Linked DNA regions of Macaca mulatta. The protein of the gene in region 3 interacts with the protein of the main gene of each other region in a pairwise test. Links are inferred from orthologs where the notes say so. Each region holds a gene or a part of one and is shown on either strand. Other genes may lie near its edges.

Region 1 (3,514 bases), on a different chromosome or scaffold from region 3:
ATGTGGGTGGAGGGGATTTCCTGTGTGGTAAGATGGTTAGTTCAAATCTGCATTTTGTTCATCATGACATAGAAGAGGAAATGTGGCATGTACTCAGAGATATACAGTTTATCCCCAAGACTGCATATTGTCCCTGGCTTAGCAAGAGCAAGTGGCTAACTCTCCTTGATAATTAGAAATTAGTTTTAACAATTGAATGAACAAACTGCAGTTCATTGTGCACTTACGCTGGCATAGGGTTCAGTACATCCACATAATCTTCAGTTGGTTCCTTCTCTTTTTCCACAGATGTACTCTGCTCTGTCTCAATCCTCCTTTTCTTTTCTCTCTCTAGGACTTCATGTAGTTTAATTACTTGCCCAGGTAGGAGTGACACATTTTGGGGAACTGACAGCTGAAACCAATTAAAAGAGTAGGCAGGCAAGAAAACAGCTTAATAACTTACAACTTTAGTAAAGATGAACCTGTTCTGATCCTACAGGACTGCAGTTACCTGACAGAGGTGAGTGAGTAGGGAATAAGGTAATAAGAAACAGGATTTTAGTCTAGGGTGGGTGTCTCAGAACTGCCTCTGCACCAACTACAATCTGCACAGAGTGCCTACCCTTCTTCCAAGGAATCTTTTGGTTTGGCCCCAAAGCAAAGAATACCCCACCTTGCACTAAAAGCTAATTCAAGTAACAACAAACCTCATATTTTTCATTCTGAGCTCACTAGTTCATCAATGCCAGGGAAGTTCCAGAACACCTTCAAGGTACCTTACTCTCTCATAAGTAATCTGAAATGATTTCCCCCAGCTATCTGGCAACATGGGATTCAAATGGAACTGTTCATTAGATGACTGAAGAGCGGCAGTCAGAGGTCCCTATTTTGTGTCTGTGGTGTGTTTCAAACATTCATTCACGTGTTAGAATTATGATATTTCTACTTATTCGTTGGTTTTGTGGTGGTTGTTACCTTTCCTAGAGATGTATTTCATATTGACTCACCTATATATGTCCTTCTGATTTATATTCATACCTCCGATTTTGACCTTATTATGACCAGTTCTGTGTTCTTGAAAGGTGTAGTTTGAATGGTAGGATATTTTTTGTACGTAACACTAGCAAGTCTGTATTTGGAGGCAGCCTTATGTGATTATCACCTTTATCTTCAGAGAAGGGTGCATGCTTTCCAGGAGGTATACAAGAAAGTTCATTAGAGTATGGGAAGAAAACATTATAACTTCACTTTCTATTAAGTTACTATTTCACTAATTTGTATTATTATATATGTTTGAATATGTGTACAAGTACATATAAAATTTACATAAACATTTACTAATAGGGATATACAATAAAAAGGGCTTAGAGACATTTTTAGATAACTAAGCTAATAACCAGTAAAACAATTTCCATATATACCAGAAAAAATAAAATAATGGGGAAAAATACCTAAGGAAGCACATATCTTTATTAATTGGCTATTATATCTCAAGCATTGTACATGTTGTATTGCAACTCCTCACAGAAATGCTGCAAAGTACTGTTACACGGGAGGGCGCAGTGGCTCATGCCTGTAATCCCAACACTTTGGGAGGGCAAGGCAGGTGGATCACTTGAAGTCAAGAGTTCAAGATCAGCTGGCCAACATTGTGAAACCTGTCTCTACTAAAAATACAAAAATTTTGGGTGACATGTGCCTGTAATCCCAGGTACTTGGGAGGCTGAGGCAGGAGGACTGCTTGAACCTGGGAGGCGGAGGTTGCAGTGAGCCGAGATCAAGTCACAGCACTCCAGCCTGGGCGACAGAGCAAGACTCCATCTCAAAAAAAAAAATGGTATTGTTATCCCCAATTTACAAATGGTGATATAGTTTGGATATGTGTTCCCACCAAAGCTCATGTTGAATTAGCCCCAGTGTTGGAGGTGGGGCCTGGTGGGAGGTGTTTAGGTCATCGGGATGAGTCTCTCATGGCTTGGTGCTTTTCTTATGTTAGTGGGTGAATTCTTGTGAGATCTAGTCATTTAAAAGTGTGTGGTACCTCCTCCCCACTCTCTGTCTTTCCTACTCTCTCCATGTGACATGTCTGCTCCCCCTTCACCTTGTGCCATGAGTAAAAGCTCCTTGAGGACCTTCCCAGAAGCTGAGCAGATGCTGGCACCATACTTCCTGTACAGCCTGCAGAACCATGAGCCAATTAAACCTCTTTTCTTTATAAATTACTCAGTCTTAGGTATTTCTTTATGACAATGCAAGAATGGCCTAATACAAATAGAAAAAAAAATCAAGCTCAGAAAGATTAAATAACTAATCCAGAGTCAAATAGCTAGTAAGTTATGGAACCAGGACCCAAAATGGGGTTTATTTGATTCAAAAGTAATGTCTCCATGCTTTCAACTACATACAGTCTGAGCTGCTCTCACTTCTCTACTAAAGTTATCCTAATAACAACATACTGTAAATTGTTCATATGCCGTGATCTGGAATCATAACACAAAACAACATTTACAGAGTACAAAATTGAGGCAACTTGTCTTCTCTTAAAAATTCACATAGGCTGGGCATGGTGGCTCACACCTGTAATCCCAGCACTTTGAGAGGCCGAGGCAGGAGCATCACTTGAGGTCAGGAGTTTGAGACCAGCATGGCCAACATGGTGAAACCCCATCTCTTACTAAAAACATTTTTTTTTTTTTTTTTTTTTTTTTTTTTTTTTTTTTTTTTTTTTTTTTTTTTGAGACGGAGTCTCACGCTGTTGCCCAGGCTGGAGTGCAGTGGCGCGATCTCCGCTCACTGCAAGCTCCGCCTCCCGGGTTCCCGCCATTCTCCTGCCTCAGCCTCCTGAGTAGCTGGGACTACAGGCGCCCGCCACCGCGCCCGGCTAATTTTTTGTATTTTTAGTAGAGACGGGGTTTCACTGTGGTCTCGATCTCCTGACCTTGTGATCCGCCCGCCTCGGCCTCCCAAAGTGTTTTTTAAAAAACTTAGCCGGGCATGGTGGTAGGTACCTGTAATCCCAGCTACCCGGGAGGCTAAGGCAGGAGAATTGTTTGAACTCAGGAGGTGGAGGTTACGGTGAGCCAAGCTTTCACCACTGCACTCCAGCCTGGATGATAGCATGAGACTCTATCTCAAAAAAAAAAAAAAATTATCATAAATTTTATCTTATATTCAGTTACTTATTTATGTGTGTGTTTTAATATAAAAATAATGCTTTTTATTCTTACTCCAGGAAAGAAACTAAAAACAAAATGTTTAGCCAAAACTTTATACGTACTTAGTGTACCAGGAAGATGCAACAAGTTTTTGCCAGTGTTTTTAGTGTACTCCTTGACACTTAGTCACATATACCCTTGGGATAGTTATACCCCGTATTGGAAGCACCATACCACACAGTGATACTTTCAACAACAGAGGGAAAGAGTGCAATTCTCCAGGATTTCTTCCTCTCCCTCTCAGAAGTCAACATGTTCTTCACATCTTTAACTGGTCCACTTTTCTAGCCTCATATAGCTTCCCTACACAGTAGTTG
Region 2 (4,051 bases), on a different chromosome or scaffold from region 3:
GGCTAGCACTGTGCCCCAAAGGAACTCTGAGACCTAGCAGTAAGAGAGAAAAACCACAAAGGAAGACAGAAAAAGAAAGTGATAAAGCAGACCGCAATACCTGGAGGGAAGGCAGGGGTTTGGAGAGGAAGAAAAGGGGGAGGGGTAATTATTAAAGGATTGGTTTCCCAGAACCAAGGTTAAATTTCCAGGAATCCCAACTCTACTCCTCACTATGGTAGACCCTGGGCTAGATGCTTTGCCTCTTTGGGTCTCAGTTTTCCTCATTTGTAAAATGTGACTAATACTCAATAGAGCTATGAATTTTTAAAATAGACAATCTGTTTCTAGCAGTCTTTTTGATATGTTGTGTCTTTGAAGATAATTTCAAGATCCCACCAACCCCTCCTCTCTGAAGGCACAAGCATACCTCTTCAACTGTTAGCTCTGAAGAAATATTGGTGGGACTAAACTCTGGTTATGCGAGCAGTCAGGATACACCACTGCTTGAATAACACCAATGGTCAAGCTGGAATGGGCTTTAGGAACCACTACTCTAACCCTCTTTTCTGTAAACAAGGCACTCTATCTAGCACAGCAAGATTAAAAGTTCTGCCCAAGGATGCAGTGAATTCCCAGAACTAGAACCAAATCAAGGAACCTGCGTCATAACTAGAAAGAAGGTCACAGACTGAGCACCTTGGGAGCAGCTCAGCGCTGGTTAAAACATAACCCTAGGGAAGCTGAAATCTGAGTGACAGTCTTAATGGCTTAAAAATTATCACAGGAGTAAAACATTTAACACCAAACTATGAGCATGAAAAGAACAGAATGCACTGAAATATTCAGAATACACATAAGTATTTATCTATTTCCAATACTTAACAGTGTGAAGTCCACAGCACGTCATTAATTCTGGTTAATAACAACTATATTAGAAACTGAGAAACAGTATGACACGGAGGTTAAGGTCTCCGAGAGCTCCACAGTCCGTCAGACAGGGTTAGAATTCCGGCTCAAACACAGATCAGCAATGTGAAACCTTTAGGAAGTTACCGCATTTCTTTGTGCTTTGAATACTCCGTCTGTAGAACGGGGATTATAATCGTGTAAAGATTAAGCGAATGATTACAGACTGAGTACTTATACTGCTACTGTAAACTATTAGTAAAATATGACTGTATTTTTTAAATATCATTGCTCTAAAGATTGGTATCACCAGAACTCGGCAAAATTTTCAGGTATCCAAGGTCCAGAAACCAGCAAAGTATTTTGTAAAGGATCCTTTACCGAGTAAGGGATTAGCTCACCCCTCTATAAACTGAAAACCCTTTGGTAATTCCTGAGGAATGGAAGAGCCCTAATGACTTTTTTTTTTTTTTTAAAGGAAAAGGGGTACAAGAGGTTTCTACTGCTGGGCTAAGGCCCTGCTGGCTTCTGGTAGCTATAAAACCACGAACGTTAGGTAAGGATTAGAGAAGAAACCCAGAGTGGCTGCGAATCAAGATAAGACATCAGATAACAGCAATTATTTTACCATGATGTGACATGTAATCCTGATGTTCCTACCTGAAGATAAAGAGCACAATTTTAAAAATCTCTGCTCCTCCATTTCCAAAATCCAACAGCTGCTGGTCCCTTTACCACTTAAAAGTCATACTCTGCCCTCCAATTCGGCTGCGCAGCCCACATTAGAGAAACACCAGGCAAGGGACGGGGGAGGGGGTAATGGGGAAAACGCCCGGATGCTGAAAGACACCTAATGTTTCTTCTCTGTTCCTACTCACTACCTGCGCTAGTTTTAACTACTTAAGCCGGTGTCCAAAACACAGAAAAAACGTCTCAGTCCTGCCTTATCGCGTGCAGGTGCCAGGTGATCAGAAATCAATACCGGGGGAGGCTGGCTGTCCCTACACATTTCCCGGAGCCTAGAACGATGAGGCAAGAGGGCTGTTGCGCAGAGAACGTGACCTTGTTTTTCAGGCCCGGACTGTCTTGTGCTCCCCTACCCCCCTGTCATGCAAGAAAAGAACCGAATAGCTTCTGAACCTTTTCCTCCCAAGCCCAATGATATGACAGCCAAAGTCAACTTCATTAAAGGAGAACCAGCCAAGGCAGAAATCGACCGGGTTTGCGCAAACCTCACCGCACAGCACAGTGTCCCCGCGTTCTTAAAGGGAGCCAATCCACGGCCCTGATCTAACCACTCTCGCACACAGGGGCGCTATTTTGCGCACCTCAACCCACACAGGGTCTCAGTATTGCTGAGACCGTGTGGGTTGCTGAGTCACTGAAGATGGCAGCTCGGCCCCAAAAACACCGTCAGCCCTGAAGTGGGGTTCAGGCCCCAGGCATATGTGGTTTTAAAAGCTCCGCAGTCTGGACGTCCATTGGCTCGGGCACTGAAGGGCGTTCAGGATTAACTAATTATCGGCACCTCCCTTCCCCAGAGTCGCCTGGGCGCCCCAGGGAAGCCATCTCGACTCCCAGCCCCCGCCCCCGCGGGCCCTTCCCCTCCCATCCCCCCGCTCCTCTACACTCACGGGGACCCTGTCCGGATATTTCTTCCGGATCTTTTCTCCTTCCTTTTTCCGATACTCAAAGGGATGGTCCTCCTTGTACTGGAACTTCATGATGCACCGCAGGGCTTCCGAGATTCCCCGCGCGGGGCCTGCCTCCTTCGCTGCTGGCCCTGTCCAGCTCCCTCCGCCGACGTCAAGGTGTGCTCAAATAGCTACAGAAACGTCCGCTCCCGGGGCAACAGCGCTGGGCCGAGCGTGCAGAGGGGGTTCGGTGTGGGGGGGATCTCGGGTGAGCCTGCCCGGAGATAGAGGAGAGCCAGGTGGAGAAACACCGGCGGCTTTTCGCTGGAGCTGGGAGCACAAAAACAGTTGGGTGGCGCGTCGGGCTGTGACGTCACCCTGCGCGCCCCGCCCCGCCCCCCAGGCGCCGAGGGCAGGGGGCGGCCGAGTGCTGTCTTAACTGCGTTTCCTTTCTGGCTAACGTTTTTCAAAATCGATGTCATTGCAAACATCAAAACATTCTAGTTGTGTTTTATTTTGTGACTGTGAAAGACGGTTTTAAGACAAAAACAATTTTAAACATGTTTTATTCCCCCTCCACTGTTTTTCTTGGTTTGGCCCCAAAACAAATACAAAAGGCGAAAATCCTTTTCCTGCTGGTTGGGATCCAGCCTCAGGGGAAAAGAGGCCCAGGCCTCCTGGGATCCCTTTGGCCAATGCAGAGCTGTCCCGTGCTTGCACCGTGCCCTCTGCGCTTTCCGCTGCCCCTCCCGCGGCCCTCCTCCCGCGCTGGCGTCACAGTGTTTGGGCCGCGCCGCAGTTCGCTCCTGAACAGCAACATAAACAGAGCGTGACTCAGGAATCTGAAGAGAGGAGTCAGATGAAGGACGCGGAGTGTAATCAAGGTCCAAAGGAGACGTGATGTCAGTCAGGACTACGGAGGGCTTCACGTACAATCAAATACAGAAATGATTCACTTTCTAGCCGGACGCGGTGGCTCATGCCTGTAATCCCAGCACTTTGGGAGGCCGAGGCAGGGGGATCACCTGAAGTTAGGAGTTCGAGACCAGCCTGACCAACATGGAGAAACCCCGTCTCTACTAAAAATACAAAATTAGCTGGGCGTGGTGGCCCATGCCTGTAATCCCAGCTACTCTGGAGGCTGAGGCAGGAGAATCGCTCTAACCCGGGAAGCGGAGGTTGCGGTGAGCCAAGATCGCGGCATCGCACTACAGCCTGGGCGACAAGAGCGAAACACCGTCTTAAAGAAAAAGAAAAGAAAGAAAGAAGTGATTCACTTTCTGCCATTAACTCAGAAAGGAGGCTTGTCTTCTGGAAAAGAGAGTATCAAGCAATTTAGGTGATGACCTCAATTCTTCCCCCACATCTTATTTAGTTCCAGTGGTTAGGTATCCCTCACGTGGCTGGAAAGCGCTGCCTGGAATGCCAGTGGAAGATTGGGCATTGCGGCAGGTGCGGCGAAGCCTCGTTCTCGCTTTCCCCACCTAGAGTCAAAGAATAAAGACCTTCCAACCAGTACGGTAGGCAGC
Region 3 (3,514 bases):
ATATTGTCTCAAAAAATTCCATCTCCAAAAAAAAGTACAAAAGGCCAGGTGCAGTGGCTCACGCCTGTAATCCAGCTCTTTGGGAGGCTGAGGCGGGCGAATCACAAGGTCAAGAGATCAAGACCATCCTGGCTGACGTGGTGAAACCCATCTCTACTAAAAAAAAATTAGCTGGGCATGGTGGTGTGTGCCTGTAGTCCCAGCTGCTCGGGAGGCTGAGGCAGGAGAATCGCTTGAAACCAAAAGGTGGAGGTTGCAGTGAGCCAAGATCGTGCCACTGCACTCCAGCCTGGGCAACAAGAGCAAAACTCCATCTCAAAAAAAAAAAAAAAGGTACAAGAATATCTAGAGACAAAATGTGAAGTTCCTCAGCCAATCCCCTGTGTACGTATGTATATTCAAGTGTACAGCGGGATAAATTTATTTATTTATTTATTTATTTATTTATTTATTTATTTTGAGACGGAGTCTTGCTCTGTCGCCCGGGCTGGAGTGCAGTGGCGCAATCTCAGCTCACTGCAGGCTCCGCCTCCCGGGTTCATGCCATTCTCCTGCCTCAGCCTCCCGTGTAGCTGAGACTACAGGCGCCCGCCACCAGGCCCAGCTAATTTTTTTATTTTTTGTAGCTTTAGTAGAGACAGGATTTCACCGTGTTAGCCAGGATGTTCTTGATCTCCTGACCTCGTGATCCACCCGCCTCGGCCTCTCAAAGTGCTGGGATTACAGGCGTGAACCACCGCGCCTGGCCTTTTGTTTTGAAATGGAGTCTTGCTTTGTCTCCCAGCCTGGAGTGCAGTGGCGCGATCTCGGCTCCCTGCAACCTCCGCCTTCCATGTTCAAGTGATTCTCCTGCCTCAGCCTCCCGAGTAGCTGGGACTACAGGCACGCCACCACACCAGGGTAATTTTTGTATTTTTAGTAGAGACGGGGTTTTGCCATGTTGTCCAGGCTGGTCTCGAATTCCTAATCTCAGGTGATCTGCCCACTTTGGCCTCCCAAAGTGCTGGAATTACAGGCTTCAGCCACCATGCCTAGTCTTTTTTTTTTTTTTTTGAGACGGAGTCTCGCTCTGTCGCCCAGGCTGGAGTGCAGTGGCCGGATCTCAGCTCACTGCAAGCTCCGCTTCCCGGGTTCACGCCATTCTCCGGCCTCAGCCTCCCGAGTAGCTGGGACTACAGGCGCTGCCACCTCGCCTGGCTATTTTTTGTATTTCTTAGTAGAGACGGGGTTTCACCGTGTTAGCCAGGATGGTCTCGATCTCCTGACCTCGTGATCCGCCCGTCTCGGCCTCCCAAAGTGCTGGGATTACAGGCTTGAGCCACCGCGCCCGGCCTGCCTAGTCTTTTCAGAATACTATGAAATGCTATTTATATTCTGTTCTAATATATACATGATTTTCATCCAATATTTGTGTTTTTGAGACAGGAATCTCACTCTGTTACTCAGGCTGGAGTGCAGTGGCCCATCTCCGCTCACTGCAACCTCTGCCTCCCAGGTTAGGGATTCTTGTGCCTCAGTCCCCCAAGTAACTGGGACCGCAAGCGCACTACCATGCTCAGCTCATTTTTTGTATTTTTTTTTAGAGATGGTGTTTCGCCATGTTGCTGAGGCTTGTCTCGAACTCCTGAGCTCAAGCAATCTGGCTGCCTCAGCCTCCCAAAGTGCTGGTATTACAGGCATGAGCCACCGCACCTGGCCAGGGCTCTACAGTTCATGTTCACATCATGTGTTATGTAGGGGGAAAAAAGGGAAAAAATTAAGACCCAGAGTGTAACATTTATGCTATCTGTACTAATCTGTGTTTCTGAATTTCCTCATTTAATATTAAACCAAAATTTATCTGAAAAAAATAACTACCTTAACATCTAAAAGAAAAAATTCCTTAGTATCATTAGATGTGTTTTCAATGTTAGATTTCTCAGACTGTTCAAACTTTTTTTATGGTTGATTCCTTCAAATAAGAACTAGCTTTTCCTTTATCTTACTGATGTGATGCCTTACACTTATTCATTTTTTTGTATGTTAAACCGCCCTTGCAGTCTTGGGATAAATCTCATTTGGTCATGGTGTATAATACTTTTAACATGCTGCTGAATTTAACTTGCTAGTATTTTATTGAAGATTTTTACATCTATATTCATAAGGAATATTGGTCTACAGTTTTATGGTGTCTTTGGTATCAGGATAATGCTGGCCTCACAAAATAAATCAAGAAGTGCTTCCTTTTTTGTTTTTTTGGAAGAGTTTGAGAAGCATTTGTGTTAATTCTGGAGAACTCACTTTTATTTATTATTTATTTATTTATTTATTTATTTTGAGACCGAGTCTCACTCTGTTGCCCAGCCTGGAGTGCAGTGGTGTGATCTTGGCTCGCTGCAACCTCTGCCTCCTGGGTTCAAGCAGTTCTTATGCTTCAGCCGCCCAGGTAGTTGGGATTACAGGCATGCCTCAGCCTCCCAGGTAGCTGAGATTACAGGTGCACATCACCACACCTGGCTGATTTTTGTATTTTTAGTAGATACGGAGTTTCACCATGTTGGCAGGCTGGCCTCGAGCTCCCGAACTCAGGTGATCCACCTGTCTCAGCCTCCCAAAGTGCTGGGATTACAGGCTTGAGCCACTGCGCCTGGCCAGAACCTGCTTTTAAATATAGCTTTCATGCCAACTTTCTATGTGACCTTAATCAAATATTTTTCAGGCCTCAGTTCCTTTATCTGTAAAAAGATATGTAATTGAATTAAATGCTCTTGAGTGCCTCTCTATCAGTTTGTTGCCCTACACTAGGGTCTAATTTGATAGAAAGATGTTGGCTTTCATTATAACAACTTGTTATCAAGGATGAATTTCTCCGTGAAATTAATAGAGGTACAGACTGGAAAGCTGAAGGAGCTTTAAGAAGTTATTTGATTTAGTCTTCTGTCTTTACAGCAGCAAATTATCCTCTCTGCCCCATAGGTACAGTAGTTAAGGTCCAGAAGGTTTAAATGATTTACCCAAAGTATATAACTAGTTAAGTGTCAGAACAAAAAAAGCTAGACCTCAGGTCTGTTTACCACAGAGCCCATAGTACACACGTGGCCTTTTCTGAAATTAGCTTAACTAGATAAATGATCTTTCTTCTGTTTTTCTTCCTCTGTAGGTTCTTTGCCCTGACATCCCTTCGTCTTGTGTTTTTACTTGCATTTGGCTTGATGATCATTGTGTGTATTGATCAATGGAAGAACAAAATCTGGCCTGAAATAAAAGGTGAGTTTGGTAGCATTTAGAACAGTCTGAACTGAAGATGGCCTTTCCTATAATTTGTACCTTTAGTATTAGGGGTTTATGAGGAGGTGTATGGAGCTGGGGACTGACTGTCTTTCGAAGTCTGAATCATTTGCTTTAGGAGGCACTTGAAGGACTTGTGCCCCAATTATGGTTCCTTGGAGCTGGGTTCTGCCCTTCCCATTGTTACTAAGCACAGGTAGTCTGTACTCACCACCTGACATATTTTTGCCAACATAATGGCCTGAGG
Region 4 (3,428 bases), on a different chromosome or scaffold from region 3:
CTGGCACAGGGCTTTGTGGACCTCAGGGGGCTGAGGGGCCAGAAGCTGGGCCAAGCCCTCCAGTCAGAGTTGCCAGCAGGCGAGTGCTCGGGCAGAAGAGGTTCGAGTCCAGGGTCACAAGTCTCTGGTACCAAAAGAGACCCATGGCTGATAGTAAGGCCTGTGGGGAAGAACTGGAAGCTCCCCAACTTGGACCCCCCCACTTCGTGGCTCTGCACACCAAGGAGCCCCCTCCCAGGCAGGAAGGAGAAGAGGCAGGTGAGCAGGGCTTGTTAGGTTGTAGCTACTTAATAAATGTTTTTTGTTATGAAGTCTACCCTGAGACCACATCTGCATTGCACTCCTAGAGGGTTGGACCCTAATGTTCTGAACACTACACACAGGTGTGGGTTTCCAGAGCAAGCACTGAGGCCACAGAACACAAGTCTGTGCGCCAGAGCCCGGGGATGGTGCAGACAGCCCTACCAGCACCCTTCCCACTCCCAAGCAAGCAGCTGGAGGCACGGGGCCAGGCAGGCCTGAGCAATCTTTATTCTGCAGAGGGACAATGACCACAGATCCATACACCATGTGGAGACCGAGGGGCGGGGAGCCAGGGGCCAGTCTTTCAGGGGTGGGCAGGTCCAGGCGTGGGCAGAGCCTTGGGTGGGTGAGGGGCAGATGGGCAGTCAGGCAGGGGCCTAAAAAAAAGATGAACCACACAGCGGGGTGCTGGGGGCTGCTCCCAACCCTCCCCCATCCCAGCCAGCACCCAGAGGGACAACCCTAACACAACCGGCCCAGGATCCACCCAGGGGCAGAGTAGGTGGGTTGCCCTCTGACTAGGGGGGCACATGCCTGCCCAGCCCACCACGGCAGAGGCAGCTCAGTTCAGGAACCAGGAGCTCTCTGGGCAGGGCCTGACCGGGCCCCCCCCCACTCCCAGGCCGACCCCCCTACTGCTGGCTCAGAAGCCGAAGGTTTCCTGGGAGGCGTAGACCATGTAGAGGAAGCCGTCCTCGTCTTTCTCCTGCTCGTAGATGTCCGCGATGGGCGTGGACACGCTCACCATGCTGTGCTGGTTCACCAGCAGGAAGAAGGCCTGCGTGGGGTTCAGCTGCAGGCGGCGCCTGAGGCAGGCGGGAGAGTATGTGGCTGTAAGGGGCTTGGCTACGGGGCAACGTAGCCCTGACCCCCAGAATGATTCCCAGCCTTTCACACCCATCCTCACCCCACCTGTCACCTCTGACCCGGCACCGACTGCAGCCCCGACCTTGACCTTTCCAGCCGCCCCAGAACAGGGGTCCACCACCGGTCCCATCACCCCTGACCCCTTCTCGGCGGGAACCCGTCTCCCTTCCCGACCCAAGCCACCACCTGGCAGCGGCTGCCCACGCACCGGATGATCTTGACCAACTCGCTCATGTTGACATGGTCCGGGACCAGAAACTTGGTCTTGTCCAGGACGGGCAGCTGCTTCTCACCCTTGTAGCGCTCGATGATCACCTGGGAGCAGGGCGGGCGGGCAGGGGGTTGTGTCGGGGACGCGCGAGGCGGGGCCGGGGCAGGGCTGGGGGTGCAGGACTTACCGGGATTTTGCTGGGGTGCTGGTCGCGGATCTGCTGTACCTCCTTACAGCGGTCGGCTGCGGACAGCGGCCAGACCGTGAGGCCGGGTCGGCCCGGCCCAGGTCCTCCCCACGTCTCCGCCTGCCTGTCCCCAAGGGGCGGCCCCCGGCCACGCCCCAGCTCCAGCCCCCGCCCCCGGGGCCGTCAGGCCCCACAGCCCCTGGCACCTATCGTGGTGGGGAAGCAGGCAGCCCCCGCCCAGGCCGGAGCCAGCCTCCCAGCCCGAGGGTCCAGCCGAAGCCTGACGTCACGGGGCTGACGTCACCTGCGGCAGTCTGGGTCGGCCGGGCACCCCCCCTCCCCGGCACCCCTACCCCGAGCTCACAGCTCGCCTGCCGGGCCTCACCGAAGCTCCGCCGCTGCTTGAAAGGCCGGTCGGAGGGCATCGCGCGGGCCCGGCTGGGCGCGCAGGCCGGGGCTCTGGGGCGCGGAGATGTGGCTGCGGTTTGGGGGCTCCGGGGGCTCCGTGCCTCGCGCTCAAGGGCTCCGGCGCTCGCGCTGAGCACGGCGGCGGCGGCTGCGGGAGGTAACTCGCCCGGTGACGTCAGGTCACAACATTCCTTAAAGGGGAGGCCGGCGCGCAGCTCCCATTGGGCCGACGCACAACCCGCCCGCCCGGACCCGTGACGTCACGGCGCAGAGAGCCTGGGTCCCCGGCCCGGGACACGAGAGGCGGGGCTCCTGGGCGCGTCACAGTCCCGTGACGTCATGAGCAGCGCGGGAGCCTCTCCCGTGGCCCCGACTCTGGTGAGGCCGGGAGAGCGGTGGGGCCGCCCTGGGCCGATGGAGCGGGTGGGCCAGGCTGCAGCCCCGTGGCACCACTTCCTTCCCTCACCGAGTCTGTGTCAGGACTGACCCGCGGCTCTGGGCACCGTGGGAAACAGCGGGAGCCAAAGGCCCGGCGCCTTCAAGGGGGCTCAGGGCAAGAGAAGGGAGAAGGTGCGGGAGGCACAGTCAGACACAGGATAGAGCAAGACGCTAGAAATGAACGCCCAGGTTTGAAAAAGAATAATATAATTGAAGAGTAGAGCTATCGAAATTCAGGTCTCAGAGGATGTGGCAAGAAGGCAGAGCAGGACAACAGAAGAGAAATCGTGGACCTGGAGGCTGATAGCAAGCAGCTTACCAGAGGACAGGTGATGGAGAATTAAAAGGAAAAGGCCACGGATGGCAACGCCAGGAGAACTCGCAGGCCGGAGCAGAGCTCCACAGGCGAGCACTGAAAGACCTGCAGAGGCAGTTCCTGAATGAGAGCTGTCAGAAATGATGCTTAAAATCCAGAGCAGAAGGCACAGACCGAAGATCAACATCTTTTTTTTTTTTTTTTTTTGAAAGGGAGTTTCGTTCTTTCGCCAGGCTAGAGTGGTGCGATCTCAGCTCACTGCAACCTCCGCCTCCCTGGTTCAAGCGATTCTCCTGCCTCAGTCAGCCTCCTAAGGAGCTGGGATTATTAGGCGCCTGCCACCACGCCTAGCTACTTTTTATGTTTTTAGTAGAGATGGGGTTTCACCATGTTGGCCAGGATGGTCTCGATCTCCTGACCTCGTGATCCGCCCGCCTCAGCCTCCCAAAGTGCTGGGATTACAGGCGTGAGCCACTGCGCCCAGCCGCCAAAATAATTTTTAAAGAATGTACTTCAGTATCAAAGACATGGAACCCAAAAGGAAGAAATTAGATGGAAAAATGGTGAGCAAATTAGTAAACATGTCAGTAAATCTAAACAAGTATTTAATATGCAACATGAATAATGGATAATCTGTGGGCCACAGAAACAAGATGCATGAGACAGAAGAACATGGGAGACTGAGAGGGCAATCAGAG
Region 5 (3,986 bases), on a different chromosome or scaffold from region 3:
TATGTTGTATTCTTGTACATATATATTGTTTATACATGTGGAGGAGTTTCCCTAGTGTGTATACATATATAGAATTGTTGTAGGGTATATGCATCTTTTCTAGATAATAGCAGCCAGGCATAGTGGCTCACATCTACAATCCCAGTACTTCAGGAGGCTGAGGTGGGAGGATCACTTTGAGTTCAGGAGTTTGAGACCAGCCTAAACAACATGGTGAGACCCTCTCTCTTAAAAAAAAAAAAAAAAAAAAGCAAACCTTGTTGTTTTCATATTTATAACCCAAGTCTTTTAAGGAAAAGATCATGCCTTAAACCATTCTCAATGATTCCCTCTCGGGGCCCATCACTAAACTGTATTTGCACAAGGTACTTAATATGTACCCAGTGACAGTGACAGATAAGATTCAAACCAGGTTTCATCTTGACCTACCTCGGAGGCAGGCCACGCCTGCCAGAAGTAGCAGCAATGTCCCAGCATAGTGAGAAAACGGCACCACTTTGGACAAACTCAAGTAACCTGGGAAGGGAGAGGGACAATGTGAGACCCTCTCCGCAGTGTTCCTCAGCTCCTCTTCCCAGTTCAGCCCCAACCTCCACCCCACACTCCCTGTTTGGAACAGCCATACCCTAAGAGGAAGAAGATGCCTGATGGAAGAGGGAAGCCAAGCCATCCTCACAGGTCCCCTCTCCTCTTTAGGGAGCTGGCTCCTCTGCCAACAACCTGCCCATTTGCTACCCCACCACGTTTGAAACCACACTGACCTTTCCTGTACAAGTAGAAGAAGGCGAAGGGAGAGGAGTAATAAGAGATGGACCAGAATACTGAAGCCTGCAGCAGAGAGACAGGGACAGGCAATCAATACACACACATACACACACACATACACACACACACGCCTGCCATTCCAGGCCTATACTCTGAGCAAGATGGACAACCTGAGGGATATCATATCATATTTGCTGTATGACACCATGAATACAGTAGATGCTCAATATTTGTTGAAAAGTAGTGTGTCAGTGTAATGGAGGCTGGGAAAACTAGGTACAGGTTCTATTTTCTTCCTCTGGAATTATGGAAGAATTATGTCTTCCATCTCCAGGCATAATTCCATCACATTTAAAGGCAGTCTCTCTGTCTACTCAAGTTAATCAAGCCTTTTCAATTGGCCCTGCTCAAGACAGCCCCTGACCTGGTCCCCAAGAGATGCGCAGACGTCACCACAGGAACTGTGCCAGAACAAACAGCTGTCCCTGCAGCCAAAGAGGTTAGTTGCCAGGGAGGACAGGTCACTGGGGAACTGCAGGACTTAGCACCTGCAGATGGTCCCAAGAGTAAACATGTTTTCCTTATGGCTCAGGCTGCCCCCAGAGAAAGCAGTGCTACATACCAAAGGGGAGTGCCAAGTATGCACACTTTGAGTGTGTCTGTGTGTCTGTGTTGGAGAGGTCTGCTGCAGAGCCCAGAGCATCCCCCAACCCCAGGGGTACTGTTGCTCCCAAGCTAGGGAAGGCTAAGTTCAAGAGGACAGGTGGGTCTGAAAGATGCAGAGAGTCCCAGATGCCAGGGTAGACATACCAGTGCCAGGATGCTGTCAGCATGTTTCTCCAGGGCACGGGGCTGATAGTACGTATCCTGCCAAAACAGATGGCCTCCTTAAGGACCCTGCCACTGGCAGGTCCTTTTCCTTCCCTTTCAGAAGCTCTGCTGTGTGTCCTCCGGTTCTACTCTCGTTGACTATCTCTCTTGAGACATCCCCGGCCCCCACAGAAAACCCTCTTCCTCACCCTCACCCTGAACCTAATTTCCCACCCCTGACCATGGGAACAAACACAGGGAGCTGGACTTGGAAGCAAAAGTGAAAGCAGCATTGGACGATTTTTGCTCCTTTTCCACAGTCTAGTTTAAAATGGATTGCAGGCGCGTGCATATGGGGAGAAGGGTTAGTTTCAGAAGAAAGACACCAAGACAATCTAAGAGGGAAAGAAAAGCATCAGAAATAAGAGTAGTTGACTAAGAAGAGAATGTGGGTAGGAGCGGGCAGTTTGTAGGAGACAGTAACACAATGTGAGACAACTGATAAAGAGGAAGATAATATTTAGAACAGCCTACCACCACCCGCCCGCTCTCCAGAATACAATGACTCGGGTCTCCAGGCTAGGTTGGGCGGGGGTTGAGGGGAGGACCTACGGATACAGGATCTGTAAAAGTCATTCTGAAATTCAAGGCGAGGGTAAAGGGAAGATAAAAACGGAGCCGAGGGAGGCACGAAGAGGCATTGCGAAAGAGGAAATTGGGAGTTCGACGGCAAAATTCAACGGCTCTCCAGTCCGCGCAGGGTCTCTTTCCCGGGACTTAAGACTCAACTAGGACTGGCACGAACCACGACAGACAGGGTGGGGGGACGCGGAGAGGAAAGAGCAAGGAGTGGCAGTCGAAATGAGATAGCGGTAAAGAGCGAAAAAGAAAGGAGGCGGCCAGTCCGTAGGCGTGACTTTAACTCAGGAAGCACACAGAGCGCAGACTTTGCGGACGACTGGTTTGACAAGCAGGCTCCCCTTATTTCCCATTATGGGCACTTCTGAGGAGCAAAGGCCGTAAAGGGTTTGGACTGTACCACGTTCCTCGGCGGGGAGGAACTCGACTCACCCAGGAGCTGGAATGGGGGGCAGTGACTGCCGTTGGCGTTTCAGGGACGCTGGCCGGGGCCCTTTCAGAGTCTCTCTCCCGGTAGATTTTGTACAGCCGGGGGCCTAGGACGCAGCTCAGCAGCTTCGCCATGGCCCTGGCTTGGGCCGCTGCTCTTCCAGCAGCAGGTCCCCCTGCCGGCCCCGCCCTCCCTGCCTCTGAGGTGTTGTGTGCCCTTGACGTCAGCCCGTACCGGCTCCGCCTCCGGGCGAGTTGCGACATTTTCAGTGCTTCCTGAGAAGAGTTTCGCGCAGTTGGGGCTACGGGTGCAGCAGTGGTCCGAAACTAGTGGAAGATTTAGGAACGCGGAGAATCAGAAAATTACCAGGCATAGCTCAGTAATTTTTTTCTGTCTCATTATTGGCAGACTCTAGAGCGACAGCGGAAACAAGGGGTGAGATTAGGAGTACTTGATAAGAGTAACAGAAAAGATAAGGTGTCTAGGAATATATCTAGTACAAGAAATGCAAGATGTTATGAAGAAGACTATAAAAAGTTACTGAAAAGGCAAACTGGCCCGGCCCAGCGCGGTGGCTCACGCCTGTAATCCCAGCACTTTGGGAGGCCGAGGCAGGCGGATCACTTGAGGCCAGGAGTTCAAGACCAGCCTGGCCAACATGGTGAAACCCCGTCTCTACTAAAAATACAAAAATTAGCCTGGCGTGGGTGGCGCGCACCTGTAATCCCAGCTACTCGGGAGCCCGAGGCACCAGAATTGCTTCAACCTGGGAGGCAGAGGTTGCAGTGAGCCAAGATCTTGCCCCTGCACTCCAGCCTTGGTGACAGAGCAAGACTGTGTCTCTAAATAAATAAATAAAGGTAAACTGGCCCAACGCAGTGGCTCACGCCTGTAATTCCAACACTTTGGGTGGCCAAGGGATGATTGCTTGTGTCCAGGAGTTCCAGACCATGGCTCACGCCTGTAATTCCAACATTTTGGGTGACTGAGAGAGGATTGCTTGCGACCAGGAGTTCCTGGCCAGCCCAGGCAACATAGTGAGACCCCATCTCTACACAAAATACCTAGGAAAAAAAAAAAAAAAAAAGACCTAGCAGGGTGTGTTGGTGCGCACCTGTAGTCCCAGCTACTTGGGAGGCCAAGGTGGGAGGGTCGCTTGAGCCCAGGAGTTCAAGATTGCTCCATGCACTCCAACCTGGATGACAGAGCCTGGCCTCAAAATAATAACAATAATAAGTGAAAAATAAAAAAAGAAAGAGGTAAACAAAAAGCTTTTCAATAAATGGAAAGCTACACCATGGTCCTGGATATGAAAATTCAGCACGGTGAGATATGGGGAATA

The links.
Region 1: the proteins of RETREG3 (region 3) and STAP1 interact in binary tests that used the Homo sapiens proteins (3 or more experiments, as listed by UniProt). The two-hybrid records come from large-scale screens. The link is inferred for Macaca mulatta from reciprocal best matches to the Homo sapiens genes RETREG3 and STAP1.
Region 2: the proteins of RETREG3 (region 3) and GABARAPL1 interact in binary tests that used the Homo sapiens proteins (3 or more experiments, as listed by UniProt). The link is inferred for Macaca mulatta from reciprocal best matches to the Homo sapiens genes RETREG3 and GABARAPL1.
Region 4: the proteins of RETREG3 (region 3) and MAP1LC3A interact in binary tests that used the Homo sapiens proteins (3 or more experiments, as listed by UniProt). The link is inferred for Macaca mulatta from reciprocal best matches to the Homo sapiens genes RETREG3 and MAP1LC3A.
Region 5: the proteins of RETREG3 (region 3) and ABHD16A interact in binary tests that used the Homo sapiens proteins (3 or more experiments, as listed by UniProt). The link is inferred for Macaca mulatta from reciprocal best matches to the Homo sapiens genes RETREG3 and ABHD16A.

Annotation. Positions count from the first base shown.
Region 1 is NC_133410.1:65,902,220-65,905,733, forward strand, and holds part of STAP1 (signal-transducing adaptor protein 1), read right to left. Parts: intron 395-3,514; coding exon 228-394; intron 1-227. UniProt on the Homo sapiens protein: In BCR signaling, appears to function as a docking protein acting downstream of TEC and participates in a positive feedback loop by increasing the activity of TEC.
Region 2 is NC_133416.1:10,339,742-10,343,792, forward strand, and holds the start of GABARAPL1 (gamma-aminobutyric acid receptor-associated protein-like 1), read right to left. Parts: upstream 2,807-4,051; 5' UTR 2,613-2,806; coding exon 2,523-2,612; intron 1-2,522. UniProt on the Homo sapiens protein: Ubiquitin-like modifier that increases cell-surface expression of kappa-type opioid receptor through facilitating anterograde intracellular trafficking of the receptor. Involved in formation of autophagosomal vacuoles.
Region 3 is NC_133421.1:66,945,800-66,949,313, reverse strand, and holds part of RETREG3 (reticulophagy regulator 3), read left to right. Parts: intron 1-3,139; coding exon 3,140-3,246; intron 3,247-3,514. UniProt on the Homo sapiens protein: Endoplasmic reticulum (ER)-anchored autophagy regulator which exists in an inactive state under basal conditions but is activated following cellular stress.
Region 4 is NC_133415.1:87,344,311-87,347,738, reverse strand, and holds MAP1LC3A (microtubule-associated protein 1 light chain 3 alpha), read right to left. Parts: upstream 2,149-3,428; 5' UTR 1,994-2,148; coding exon 1,954-1,993; coding exon of another isoform or gene 1,933-1,953; intron 1,625-1,932; coding exon 1,569-1,624; intron 1,486-1,568; coding exon 1,379-1,485; intron 1,110-1,378; coding exon 947-1,109; 3' UTR 507-946; downstream 1-506. UniProt on the Homo sapiens protein: Ubiquitin-like modifier involved in formation of autophagosomal vacuoles (autophagosomes). While LC3s are involved in elongation of the phagophore membrane, the GABARAP/GATE-16 subfamily is essential for a later stage in autophagosome maturation.
Region 5 is NC_133409.1:150,617,220-150,621,205, reverse strand, and holds the start of ABHD16A (phosphatidylserine lipase ABHD16A), read right to left. Parts: upstream 2,809-3,986; 5' UTR 2,779-2,808; coding exon 2,647-2,778; intron 2,366-2,646; exon of another isoform or gene 2,212-2,365; coding exon of another isoform or gene 2,188-2,211; exon of another isoform or gene 2,110-2,187; intron 1,633-2,109; coding exon 1,576-1,632; intron 1,251-1,575; coding exon of another isoform or gene 1,190-1,250; intron 829-1,189; coding exon 762-828; intron 517-761; coding exon 430-516; intron 1-429. UniProt on the Homo sapiens protein: Phosphatidylserine (PS) lipase that mediates the hydrolysis of phosphatidylserine to generate lysophosphatidylserine (LPS). LPS constitutes a class of signaling lipids that regulates immunological and neurological processes.